Arabidopsis thaliana: one gene and its partner. The protein of the gene in region 2 binds, or shares a complex with, the protein of the main gene of each other region. Each region holds a gene or a part of one and is shown on either strand. Other genes may lie near its edges.

Region 1 (5,963 bases), on a different chromosome or scaffold from region 2:
GTAACACTTTTATTTATCTACATTTTAAGTATCTATCTATTAGACATTCTTCTTCTTTTGTTTGTCAATATTAGACATTCGTTGTAAACCTAAATAATGTTTCGCTTTACAGAGAACTTTAGATTAAACGTCTACGTACATAGAATCAAACCACCAAACTAAAAAACCAATAATAAACGTTGTCCATTGACGTAGCAAACTATAGTTTATTATTCTGATCATTCTCTCACTTCCATATAACGAGAGTTTCTCAATCAAAAAAAAGAAAAAAAGTTTTTCAAATTTATTGAAATGATGTGCTTCAAAAAAGAACATAACGAAAATGTTATTACTTTATCTAGAAAATGATTTGGAGAAAGTTATATACTTCTGTATTTGACAAAAAAAAAGGTTATATGCTTACTGTACCAAAATGAAAACTTAAAGCTCGTATGGAGTTGTAGTCTTATAGTCTTATAGACTAGAAAATGCGTCGATGAAGTCATGGTAAGAGTGAATATGTGATGGGTAATCTACGAAAACGTAAAGTCATTTACGAGTTGAGGTTAAAACAATCGGGATCAGTTAGTAGTTGGTGTAATTAATTGGCTACTCACTCGCCTTTATAAACGGAGCTGGTCTCGTCTTGGCTTATACAAAAACAAACATAACTTAATACATACAAAAAAAACAAAAGAGATGGGGAGTCTCGTTGTTAACGGAGCTGCTCTCTTGGCTTTGTTGTGGTTCAATGTTTTTGTGGTGAATTATGTGGCTGCAAGAGAAGGTGTGACCTTTGGAAAAGATGAAGAGGAGAAGACCATCATAGGCGGAGGAAAGGGCTTTGGAGGTGGTTTTGGTGGAGGATTTGGCAAAGGAGGTGGAATCGCTGCCGGGGAAGTGGTGGTTTTGGAGGTGCCATTGGTAAAGGTGGAGGCATTTTCGGCCACGGAATAGGCAAAGGCGGTGGTTTTGGAGGTGGCATTAGTAAAGGTGGAGGCTTTGGTGGTGGAATCGGCAAAGGTGGTGGGATTGGAGGCGGCATTGGAAAAGGTAAAGGATGGGGCTTTGGCGGCGGAATAGGCAAAGGTGGTGGTATTGGAGGCGGCATTGGAAAAGGTAAAGGATGGGGCTTTGGTGTTGGCTGGTTTGGACACCACTGAGCTAAATGAGAAGAAGATTGTAGTTGCATTGCATGGATGTCTCACGTAAACAAGTTGGTTAAAGCAACTACTTCTGAATAAATTAAATTAGCTTTCACGTATTTGTAACTTTGAGTTTCACAGCTCAAGATAAGCTTTGTACTGTTGAGTTTCCACTAGTTTCTATCTATAATTATGAGAATTTGGTATCCTAATATCCATCATTACGGATCAAACCCCGTAATCCCAAAAGATATTTTAACAATGTGGCTCTGCCTTGTGCTATCACAGTGTGTGCCTATCTATGTTTGTTTCAATCTCACCCCTCACAAAAGAACCTAGTAGCTCACATACTGATAACACCTTGCCTCTTCGTTCTTCAAGTGATTACCTCAACTCGGAGTAGGAGCAGACCTTGAATTCAACCTCGATGAGTCGTTGCCCCACCTAAGAACTCAAGCAGCCCTTGATAAGTCCTGTACAAACACACGACGCAAAATGATTATGCCTTTTTCTCAAAGCTACCTCTCACTATTTTCTACACCTTCTTCTTAATGGTACCACTAACGTTACCAACTACCTCTACTTTCTACTCAAACCATACATTCAGCAATTTGACTCTCACCTCCATCGAGTTCTGCTCTCACCATCTGCTTTCTTAACAAGTACCCTGAAGCATTATTCCCTGCTTAAGTTATATCCATCAGGGCCAAAACAAAATAACACAATCAAAACAAACAATCCGGCAAGAATACTAGGAAGACAAACATAATACGAAAACAGCAAAGCCTGTAGTTATAATAACTCTGCCAAAACTCAAAAGTACACTCAACCGAAAAATAACTTAATAGAAGTGACTTATTGTAATAGATAGCACATGCTTATAAAGAGATTCAAGCAGTCCAACCCGTTAGGAAGTTGTGGAACCTTTGATTTGAGCTAAATTCTTCTTGACAAGGATCCAGAAACCAGGGCGGTCATAATCCCCTTACACAGTCACTACTGGCCTTGTCGACCCTGACCATCATTGTACCCACCACCATAACCTTGTGACGGGTCAGATCGCCAAGATCCATCACCATAACCACCTCCCATGTAGCCACCACTACCAGGGTTGTTTGAACCGCCACCACTAGGACGCCCTCCAACCACACCATATGCAGCTTGATTTCCATAACCAGAATCACTTCCACTGTACCCTCCATAACCGTAGCCTTGGTTACTATAGCCAGATGGTGACTGCGTAGGAGGAGCTGCACCAGGAACTCCATATCCACTATGAGCAGCACCACTCCCATAGCCTGGGTTCCCATAACCACTAGAAGCTGGAGTGTCCCATGAGTTTCTCGGAGCAACTCCAGTACTACTTCCATAGCCAGCACCTGGAATGTTCGTTGCTCCATATCCAGCAGTAGCACCAGCGCCATAACCTCCAGCAGAACCAGTGTAACCTCCATAGGCACCATACCCGGCACCATTACTACCATTTCCATAGCCAGCGCCATAACCAGAAGAACCATAAGATGGTAAACCATTTCCAACACTTTGATGCTGCAAAAACCTATTGGAATCCATACGTCCATCATAACTGCTTTCATTGCCACCATAACCCTGGTAACCACCAGAGCCACCACCACCCATTGATCGTCCACCACCTCCAGGATTGGCATCTTTAGGAAGAGCACGCTTTACTTCAACTTGTTTACCGCTCAAATCATGGAAAGTCTTGTGCAAAACACTGTCTACCGCATCTTCAGAGTCGAAGGAAACAAATCCAAACCCACGAGGACGGTTGGTAGCCTGGTCATACATGATTGCAACATCAGTCACAGGGCCATAAACTTCAAAGTACTGGCGAAACTCTTCATCAGTCAAAGTAGGTGGCAAGCCTCCAACAAAGATCTTCTTGGTTTTATTGTAAGCATCACCTCCAGAACTTCTAGATGTATTAAGATTCCCAGTTCTTCCAGAGACTTGCTGCTCCTCTCTTGACATGGCTCTCTTCACATCAACCTAAACATTAACCAAAATCAATAAAGCTCATAATAAACTTCCAAGAATCATACTTTACCCAAATCGAGAACATAACGCAACAGAAAATATATACATCTGTTTTTCCTTATCCTAATAAACCAAACCAAGCTCTCTTTTCTAATACTATACTCAATCACTTCATAGAGTGTACGATTAACATATATCGAGTACCCTATAATACCTCTTATACAAGTTAAAACCAATCCTAGAATCTAAGAAACACTAAGGCGAATTTGCCAACCAAACAAAATTCTATATTTACTCTCGTTCTCAATCAACACAGCAAAACGCAAAAAGGATAAAACTTTAACACAATTAGAGAAATGGAGCTATAAGAGAACAATAATAACCTCTCTGGTATCAATGCTGTGTTTCTCTTGAAGAACCCTATCGAGAACAGAAGGATCCGAGAAGATAACGAACCCAAAACCCCTAGGTCGACCTGTGAGCTTGTCTCTCATCACAATAGCCTGAGAAACCTCTCCATAGTTGGTGAAATGTTCTCTCAGCTTATCTTCATCAGTTTCCCATGAAATACCACCGACAAAAAGCTTTCCTTGATCCGAATCCATGAATTTATATTCCACTATCTTACTTCTGACCCAGAATCACAAATCCACCTCAATCTACGAAACCGTGAAAACCGACTGCAGAAACTTCCAGAAATTACGAAAAGGCTTTAGCTTTTCCAATGGCTGTAGCCGATTTGAGAGGAGGAAGAGGAAGAAGACAGCGAACGAATATTTCTATTGGTTTGGTATTGATATTCGCGAAGGTACGAATCTGTCAGCAGATAAATAAATCAACGGTCTAGATCCTTTCTAATATTATTAACGGTTCAGATCTGTTTCCCGTTTTCTTGTAACAGAGATGCTTACTTATGGGCTTAAGTCCAGCCCAATAGAAGTATAAATAATGGGCTACAAAGACCGACGATGGTTTCACTCGTGTGTTTTCTATTCCACACGTGCCAGCAAATCCTACAAGAACGACAAAAAAATCTTTCGTGCTGTGACAATCTCTGTGCCAGATGTGCACTTTGTTGTCGAAAATTCCAAACTCCACATTACAGCTTTATTAGTACTTGTAATAATTAACCTCATATGTTTAAGTTTAATTAATCTCTTAATTACCTCGTATATATTTTAAAATAATTAAAACAATAGCCTATAAACGACAATTAACGTGCACGATCTCCACTAAAAAACCTTAATTGAATTTTTGAGTTTTTTTTCGAAATTTTTTAAGAGACTTTGGTCAATGTCAGCTTTCACTGAAAAAACTTTGGAATTAGTAATAATGATTAATGATTATACATGACAATACCAATTAATTAATTTCCATAATGAAATGTGAAGACGTTAAATGTAAAAAGCGGCAAAAATGTGGGGCTAATTTATAAAGTTTGTTTATATATTTTTAAATATAAAAACAGTTTCAGGCTTCAACAACGAAAAAGCCGTTTTTCTATTACTTTGCTTTATTTTCTTCTCTTTCTCTGTGTTTTTCTTTCTTCGATCTCACTGTCTTTCTTCTGGAACAGCTCGATCTTTTGATTTAGGGTTTTTTTAGTTACATTTCTTGTTCTATCTGAATCTCTTTCGTTGGTTAGGTTTTATTCGATTTTTGACTATTTGTGAGAAATATGGAAGAATGAGAAGAAGAAGAAGGTGATTTGTTTGATTTTTTTCTAATGGAGCAGCTTGTTAACTTCGTCATTCGACCTCCAAGGTGATGATTCTCTCAGAAAATTGAAAAAAATTACTTACTGATTCTGGAATTTAGTTTTCAGTTTCATCTTTCTATTTCTCTTTACTAGGTTGTAGAATTGGGTTTCACACAAAGTTTAGATTTTTAGATTTGAGTTTTGAAATTTTGGTTCTTGTTCTTGAGTTGATTTTGGATTTTTATATAGATGAAGTAATATATACTAGGATTTAGGGTTGCATTTCCTCAAGAAAACCCTGTTCCTCTTTCAAATCCAATTTGTTTTAATTAGTTTGTTTCATCTACGGTTGAATATAACTGGTGTTTTGATGTAGAGCTGAATACAATCCAGAACATGATCTCTTGGAACAAGAGTTCTTGCTTAAAGGGAGATGGTACCAGAGGAAAGATTTAGAGGTAAAGCTTTTTTTCTTCTGTTGTTGTTGTGAACTCCTGACTAGAGAATCCAAGCAAACATGTTGTGATTCAATGTCAATGTAGATTTCATCAGTTGTTCACTGTTGATCAGCGTGAGTTCCTTATTTTCCAGCCTTGGACTGCCTTTAGGATCTCAAGGTTTTAGTTGTGCTTTGTTCACCTAAGACTATAGAAGAACTTATATTGTGACAGGTTAAAAACATCAGAGGAGATATCCTTCAGTGTAGTCATTACATGCCAGTTGAGCGTCCTGAAGATAGGCCTCTACCTTGTGTAATATACTGCCATGGCAACAGGTAATCGTAACTTTTATTTTAATAAAACGTGATTTGAGCTGTACTGGTGAAATAAGCTAGTTAACTCATCCTTCAATCGATGCAATAGCTGGTAGGATACTATGACAACCATGCATTGAAATGAAACAACTGATATGGTTGCCAACATTACTAAAGTTTTCCAATTATCATAATAGCTTAATGTTTCTTTTAGTATACTATTCATTAATGGATTCATTCTTATTCAGTGGATGTAGAGCTGATGCCAGTGAAGCTGCGATCGTATTACTTCCTTCAAACATCACGATTTTCACGCTTGACTTTTCGGGATCCGGTCTCTCTGGCGGGGAGCATGTCACTTTGGGTTGGAACGAAGTATGTCCTCCTT
Region 2 (6,593 bases):
TCCTCCTGGTTGTCAAAACACTACACATTGTTATCGTGAAAAGTATCATATTTAATTATGTATTCATATATACAAATCATTTTCTACTAAATATGAAAAAAAATTTATCACTAATCTACATTATTGATGTGATATGGAACTTGTTACATTATCAAATTTTAATTATTTTAAAATTCTTTCATTTTTTTTAACTTCAAATTATTGTTATATATATTTTAATAAATTATAAATTAATGTGTTATCAGGCATAACTTCAAGTTCGTGTAACATGAGATGTGTCTTGTGAAAGCATGACATGTAACTTTCGTTGTAAAATAAAATAAAAAACAAATGAGCTCAGATATGAGGCTATATTATCCGATTCATCGGAGAATTGCTAAGGACCCAACCTTAGCTTAAAGCAAATTTCATCAACGCTCAAATGCACCAGCCGGGAATTGAACCCGGGTCTGTACCGTGGCAGGGTACTATTCTACCACTAGACCACTGGTGCTACTTGCCTACTATCTTACTTTTCTAATATAAATCCAGTATTTCACGTTTAGTGAGAGCAATTGCACATGTTCCAGCATTGCATTTAGAAACTGATGTGGTTTGGTCTTTTAGTTTTTAAAAGAACAATAATATAAACTGATGTGGTTTGGTTAGTGTTCAATGAAACCAAAAGCTACTATTACCAACACACACCTTAATTGATTGTGCCTGGACAAGTACTATTGCAGTCAGATTCTAGACAAATTTCTCCATTTAGTAGAGAGAGAACTAAACATGTAAAAAACTTAAAAATAAAAAAGAACCAAACTTGTTGCTAAGAGATCCAAACTAAAAGCTTAAGAAGAAGACGATAGATAGCTCAGTCTTCGTAGTCGCCTTGGGCATACTTGTCTTCGGGGTAATACACAGCCACTACTTGGTTTCCTCCAAATTTTCTTCCATTCATCCCCGATCTGGCCTTTGATGAGCCATCCACATCCGCATACTCTAAGAAAACCTGCATTAGTATTACCATTAGAGTATGCAATTTATATATGAATTTGGTAGACATTTGTATCTGAGGACTGAAATCTAACCTTCCCAACTCCTGGTGTTGGGTCATGATCTGGATTAGGCCTCGGAATCACAACATTCACTAAGTTACCTACACACACAACAATGATTTATCAAAGTTCATTTTAGACCATGAGCCTCAGTAATGTGCTATTGGTATAATGTCAGAACAGACAATAAGAAAATCTAATTGCTTACCGAATTTTCCACCTTCTTGTCGCATGTCCTCCATTATCTCTGCATATTCTTCATCGTCTCTAAGATCATCAGCTGTAACCACTTGAGTCAAACAGACAATCTTGGTGGGAGTACCTCCTGGTTGGAACATAAGCCTCTGCAACAAAGTTTGAGACAGATTTAGCATTACTGATCATTTAGATAGAGTGAATCAGAATCCTTTACCTGCAAAGCAATCTGTTGTTGGGCATAAAGTAAGACTTCTTCTTGCTCGGGTTTAGGTTGAATTGCACCCTGGATTGCACGCCTAACTGTAAGTGTCTTATCACCCATCTTAATCCCGTTTAGAGCGGCACATGCAATATCTGTTACTGACGGATCTTGGTAAACACAGAATGCATATCCCTTCGAATTTCCAGTCTCCCTGTCTTTGACCAAGTTGAAACCTCTTAGGGGCCCAAAAGACTCCAAGAGCTCCCTGATCTGTACCTCTGTGAAGTAATAGGGAAGTCCGCCCACAAAAATGCGGTCGGGACCCTCAAGCCCACCAGTAGACCCTGAAGACAATCCAACAGCCCCTAAGTTGAGGTTGGGATTAGGCTGGCTCGGACCAAGAGTTGCAGCAAGAGACGGGTTATAGTCAGTTGGCCTCCTCACCTTTACAGGAACTCCCTAGAGATGAAAAAAGCTATGATTTCAGATAGGTTTCAATACTCATAATACAGATTGTAACTAATAAACACCAAACATCTAAAGTGTAGAAGAGCTAATAAATCACCTCTAATATAATGCCGTCTAATGCCATTGCGTTACTAGCCTCCTCAACAGATCTCATCTCTACAAAAGCAAACTTCTTTTCGTGGTTTATATAAACATTGACCACCGCATCACCTATGAATTAATAATCCAAAAAAAGGATGAGATTTCGTATAGACTTGCGGCCAATATGACAAAAATATAATGAACTTTTCAATACCTGGCCCAGCAGTGTTTCCCCCAATGGCCGACATCACTTGGCTAAAGAACGTTGACACCGACTAGGACATGAAAACCCATTCTCAGTAGGCATACAATGGATATTGAAATGTGGTTTAAATAGACAATAATAAACAAAAAGTCACAAAACCTTAAACAAAACAAAAGTAACAAACCTGTTCATTAGCAGTTGGTGGAAGGCCACCAACATAGACTCGCCGAGCATGCCTAGTTGCCTGCGACTACATATTTTAGGAAGGGAATCGTGACAAAAGGTGAAGAACCTAAGAATAAGATAGATTGATAGATCGTACCTGTTGAGTCATTGCCTGAACTGGCAGTACAGGAAGCGCACCTAGTTGCTATGTGAGAAAAAAGATTGAGAAGTTCTGAGCATGTTCGCATAAAACAAAAGAAAAGAGGAACATAAGAGACACAAAAATACAAATTTTTATACCTGACCAGGGACCATTGGAAACATGTTTGAGAACATCCCTGGAATAGTAGCAGTAGTTGGCACACTAGGAACCTGGCCTGCTAGGTAAAGTAGTATGCGTCATAAAAATGTTTGTTAGATACATTATTATGTTTCCCGGAGGAGCAGACCTACCAACAAGTACAAAGCTACAGATAACACCTTGCTACTTACAAAACCCACAAGTAGAAAGTATACCAACAACTTATGAATATTAAAATGAAAAGTTGTGATGTAATATTCGTTTTAGTTGTCAGAGATTGTAAGGCTCGAAAACAGGCATATAGTTGCCAGTCGAAGATGAAAAATACCCATGACAACCGTTGCACTGATTCCTCCTTGTACAATTAAAGCTAGAGAGGTCGGCTCATTGTCAGCACAGTGGGGCAACTAACCCAACATAGCCTTCTTACTACAAAAAGACAAGACACAGAAACAAACAAACACCACCAAAAAAACACAAACAAAAAATTTCTCAGTTCCAGAACCACCAGTCAAACAAAAATAACAAGACATCCTATGAAGAAAGCAAGACTTCAAAGTCCTCTTTGTTCACGAGTAAACAATAAAATTGCAGCTTACCAAAGTCACACCGTGTAATTGACTATGATCTTTCCAAACTACGTAAAATCAAAAACAACAAGCAGTTAAGAAATATAATAACCCTGAGTAGATGATGAAGCAAATACCTGCTGCAGCAACAGCAGTAGCAGCTAACATATCAGGAGGCGCCATATCAAATCCACTTCTCCTCTTGCTGAAAGAGCAAAATATAATTGGTTAGACATCAGTAGAGACGAGTTCGAAAAAATAATGCCAAGTAAACGTATGAAACACACATAAACATCAATGACCCAGATCAGACTAAAATATTGGTAATCATATAAGGAGGGACCGTTCAACCCAGTAGAAGACCATGATAATCATATTGTGTCAACAAAACAAAGACATCAAATACTAAACAATAATGGTTTTATTTGATTTGACATCAATATCATAACACATTGCAATGTGGCCACGGAAAGAACTAGTTAGAAAAGATAAAAATAGCAGGAGAGCCCAGGTACCTCTTTGACCTTGATCGCGACCGTGAGCGTGATCTATGTTCAGACTTATGTCTATGTTCTGACCTTGACCTACGTTCAGAGCGGCTCCTTGACCGAGAGCGTGACCGTCGCCTGTGTCTCACCTCTCTGTCTCGATCGCGAGACCTCCTCCTGTCGAGAAATGACTACACCTTCAATTTTAAGAATAAAACAATCTAAAACTACAAAAACAATTGCAACACACTAATGAGTACCTATCACGGTCTCGACTTCTGCGATGATGATCATCATCCAAATCATCTCTTTTCTCACTACGTTCTCTGCTACGGTCCCTATGACGATCTCTATGATGACGGTCTCGTTGCCTATCCTTACTTCTCTCCCTATCCCTATCTCTATCTCTGCTTTTCTCCCTATCTCTGTCTCTGCTCTTCTCCCTATCACGATCCTTCTCACGATCACGATCTTTGTTTCCGTCTTTATCACGTCCATTTTCATTGTCTTTCTCACTGATTTTCGAAGAATCCTTTTTAAGATCATGAGATTCCTGCAGGAAACAAATGTCAAAAGGCTTCTCTCATATACTATCCCCAGATTTCTAAAGAGAACATATGAACTTAACATGATAATATATACTCTAAATCCAGTGAATCCTTCAAATCAAACTATCAAAAACATAAATTCAACAAGCAGAATCCGAGAATTGTACCAAATTACAATACAAGTGGAGAACAAATTATGATTACCAGTCTAATTCACGAGAGAAACCTAAAAGCTACAGAATCGAACGCAAGATATGTAAAGAAGAAAGTGTAACATACTCGAGACTTGGAGTCTTCATGAAAAGGCGAGCTCTCTAGAGATATGTAGTTCTCGTTGTGGTTTTCGGTGGAGATAGCGACACCATCTCCGTTGCCTTCGTAACTCATCATCCACTTGTGATCTCTTCTCCGATTGGTACTTATCGTTGAGTCTGATTGTGTATGGAAGAAAACCCTAGGGATTCTAATGGAGGATGAATTAAAAATTATGAAGATTCTTCGAGGAAGATGAAGTGATATATGGGTATTATTGTAAATTGAACAGTATTTTTTGGTGTTACACCAAAACCGTAAATGGGCTTGTCTAGTCCAAATTTGAAAACTAGGGTCTCATTATACTTAATGGGCTTATCAGCTTTATCGGCTTATAGTCTAAATTTTTAGTTTCTATCACCAAAAAAAAAAAAAAACTAAATATTTTAAAAATTGATCATTCTAATATTGTTTTACATTATTATTTTTTGTGTAATTAAGGGTTGATTATTATTAGATGTCTTTGTTTATGACTTTTTAAAAGTGTGTTTTATAAGTCTTTATCTGATAGTTTAAAGTCACATATGTTTCTAGGCGTAACTAGCAATTGAAGATGAAAGACCACGTTAAAACATCACAAATATCTCCGGCGTTTAGAGGTTTCTCTCACCATGGATCAAATTCAATTGTTGACACAAAATATTACAAAAAAAGAAGAAGTTTAAATTAGCTTTCATTTGACGGTGGTTTGAAGTTAAACGTACTGATGGATTGGAAAAACATACGATTCTAGTGAAAACAAGTCAACCTAACAACATATATTGCAGAGACTGGTCCACACTCGATCCCTTCATGGACCGTAGCATTCACGGCCAATCAATCTGTTCATTGAGTTTTGACTAGTGTCAATAATTCATAGGATTTTGTTTATATGAAATAACTTTGATATGAGTCAATAATTCATACGAATTTGTCTTTTTCTGTGCTTCTTGAAGAATCCTTTTCAAGATCATGAGATCCCTGTTTTAAAACGGAGATGTCCAAGGCTTGCTTCGTCATAAGTACGACGAAAAGTAAAATGCAATTATATCTTCGAACATCTCTAGATCCTATTATTAAAACACTTAGGGTTACTAGGAATAGATTCATGTGGAGTGTGAATTATGAAGATAGATATTTAGGAGCCCATTAATCGTTTAAAATTATGGCCTCATTATGATTCATTGGCTTAATAGTCTTATTTTTTATTTTATTGTATCCCAAATATATACGTTTGGACACAACCAGTTTTACGGTAGAAAGATTCGAAACATCCCCATATTTTTATAATTTGACTACCATAATATTGTAGAAAGAAAGCATAGCTATTAGAGACTAGTACTTACCAGTTTTTTTTGGGTTATTTTATTTTTAGTTCTAAAACTAAGATAGTTACAAAAACAGATGATTCTAAATATTATTATGTAAATTCTAAATTGATTAGCATTAATTTTAGTACAAAACCTAATAAGCATCATTACAATAATGAAAGACTGCAAGACCATTGGATTGCTAACTTATATATATATATATATATATATATATATATATATATATTGGGTCTTATTAATAATATAAAAATTTACAAGTTTTTTACCTGGTAGTTATAATGGTAAGATGGTACATAATGATGTATAAAAAAGAAAAAGAAAAATAGTACAGAAAAACTGTAAAAAAACAGTGTAACAATTTTGATATTTGATTGATAAATTTATAAATTGTAGAAATTGTAGTGCTTTGATTTTGTTCACCAATCAAAGCCATTGTTTGTTCAGTTTGTCAAACAGTCGACAATAGAAACAGTCATAAAATGGTGTTCTGATGTTGGGCCCAAAATTTTCTTTTTAATATTACCCTTAATTTTAATATCCTTTTCAATTGGATTTCTCTTTTGGTTTCCTTAAGGCAAAATTTTTGGTTGACTAGAGAAATATAGAAGAAAATAGAGAATGGGGGCAGAGATGCATGAATGATGAAAGTGATGAAAAAGGACGAGAGGGAGAAAAAGAGAGATAGATGATAGGTGATGTGACATTGACA

What was found.
Region 1: AT1G60900 (region 2) and AT4G14300 share a complex: the UniProt entries of both Arabidopsis thaliana proteins name them as parts of the spliceosome.

What each region holds. Positions count from the first base shown.
Region 1 is NC_003075.7:8,228,943-8,234,905, reverse strand, and holds AT4G14300 (RNA-binding (RRM/RBD/RNP motifs) family protein), read right to left. Parts: upstream 3,905-5,963; 5' UTR 3,728-3,904; coding exon 3,506-3,727; intron 3,135-3,505; coding exon 2,121-3,134; 3' UTR 1,747-2,120; intron 1,598-1,746; 3' UTR 1,143-1,597; coding exon of another isoform or gene 895-1,142; 3' UTR 830-894; coding exon of another isoform or gene 679-829; 3' UTR 625-678; downstream 1-624. Other genes in the region: AT4G14301 (uncharacterized protein), read left to right, coding at 679-829, 895-1,142; AT4G14290 (alpha/beta-Hydrolases superfamily protein), read left to right, coding at 4,849-4,886, 5,198-5,279, 5,493-5,596, 5,824-5,950. UniProt on the Arabidopsis thaliana protein: Involved with pre-mRNA processing. Forms complexes (ribonucleosomes) with at least 20 other different hnRNP and heterogeneous nuclear RNA in the nucleus.
Region 2 is NC_003070.9:22,422,067-22,428,659, reverse strand, and holds AT1G60900 (U2 snRNP auxilliary factor, large subunit, splicing factor), read right to left. Parts: upstream 4,767-6,593; 5' UTR 4,653-4,766; coding exon 4,542-4,652; intron 4,268-4,541; coding exon 3,975-4,267; intron 3,892-3,974; coding exon 3,742-3,891; intron 3,432-3,741; coding exon 3,364-3,431; intron 2,734-3,363; coding exon 2,657-2,733; intron 2,562-2,656; coding exon 2,514-2,561; intron 2,436-2,513; coding exon 2,376-2,435; intron 2,262-2,375; coding exon 2,201-2,261; intron 2,116-2,200; coding exon 2,003-2,115; intron 1,897-2,002; coding exon 1,450-1,896; intron 1,382-1,449; coding exon 1,246-1,381; intron 1,139-1,245; coding exon 1,071-1,138; intron 992-1,070; coding exon 854-991; 3' UTR 607-853; downstream 1-606. Other genes in the region: AT1G60913 (Rapid alkalinization factor (RALF) family protein), read left to right, coding at 1-55. UniProt on the Arabidopsis thaliana protein: Necessary for the splicing of pre-mRNA.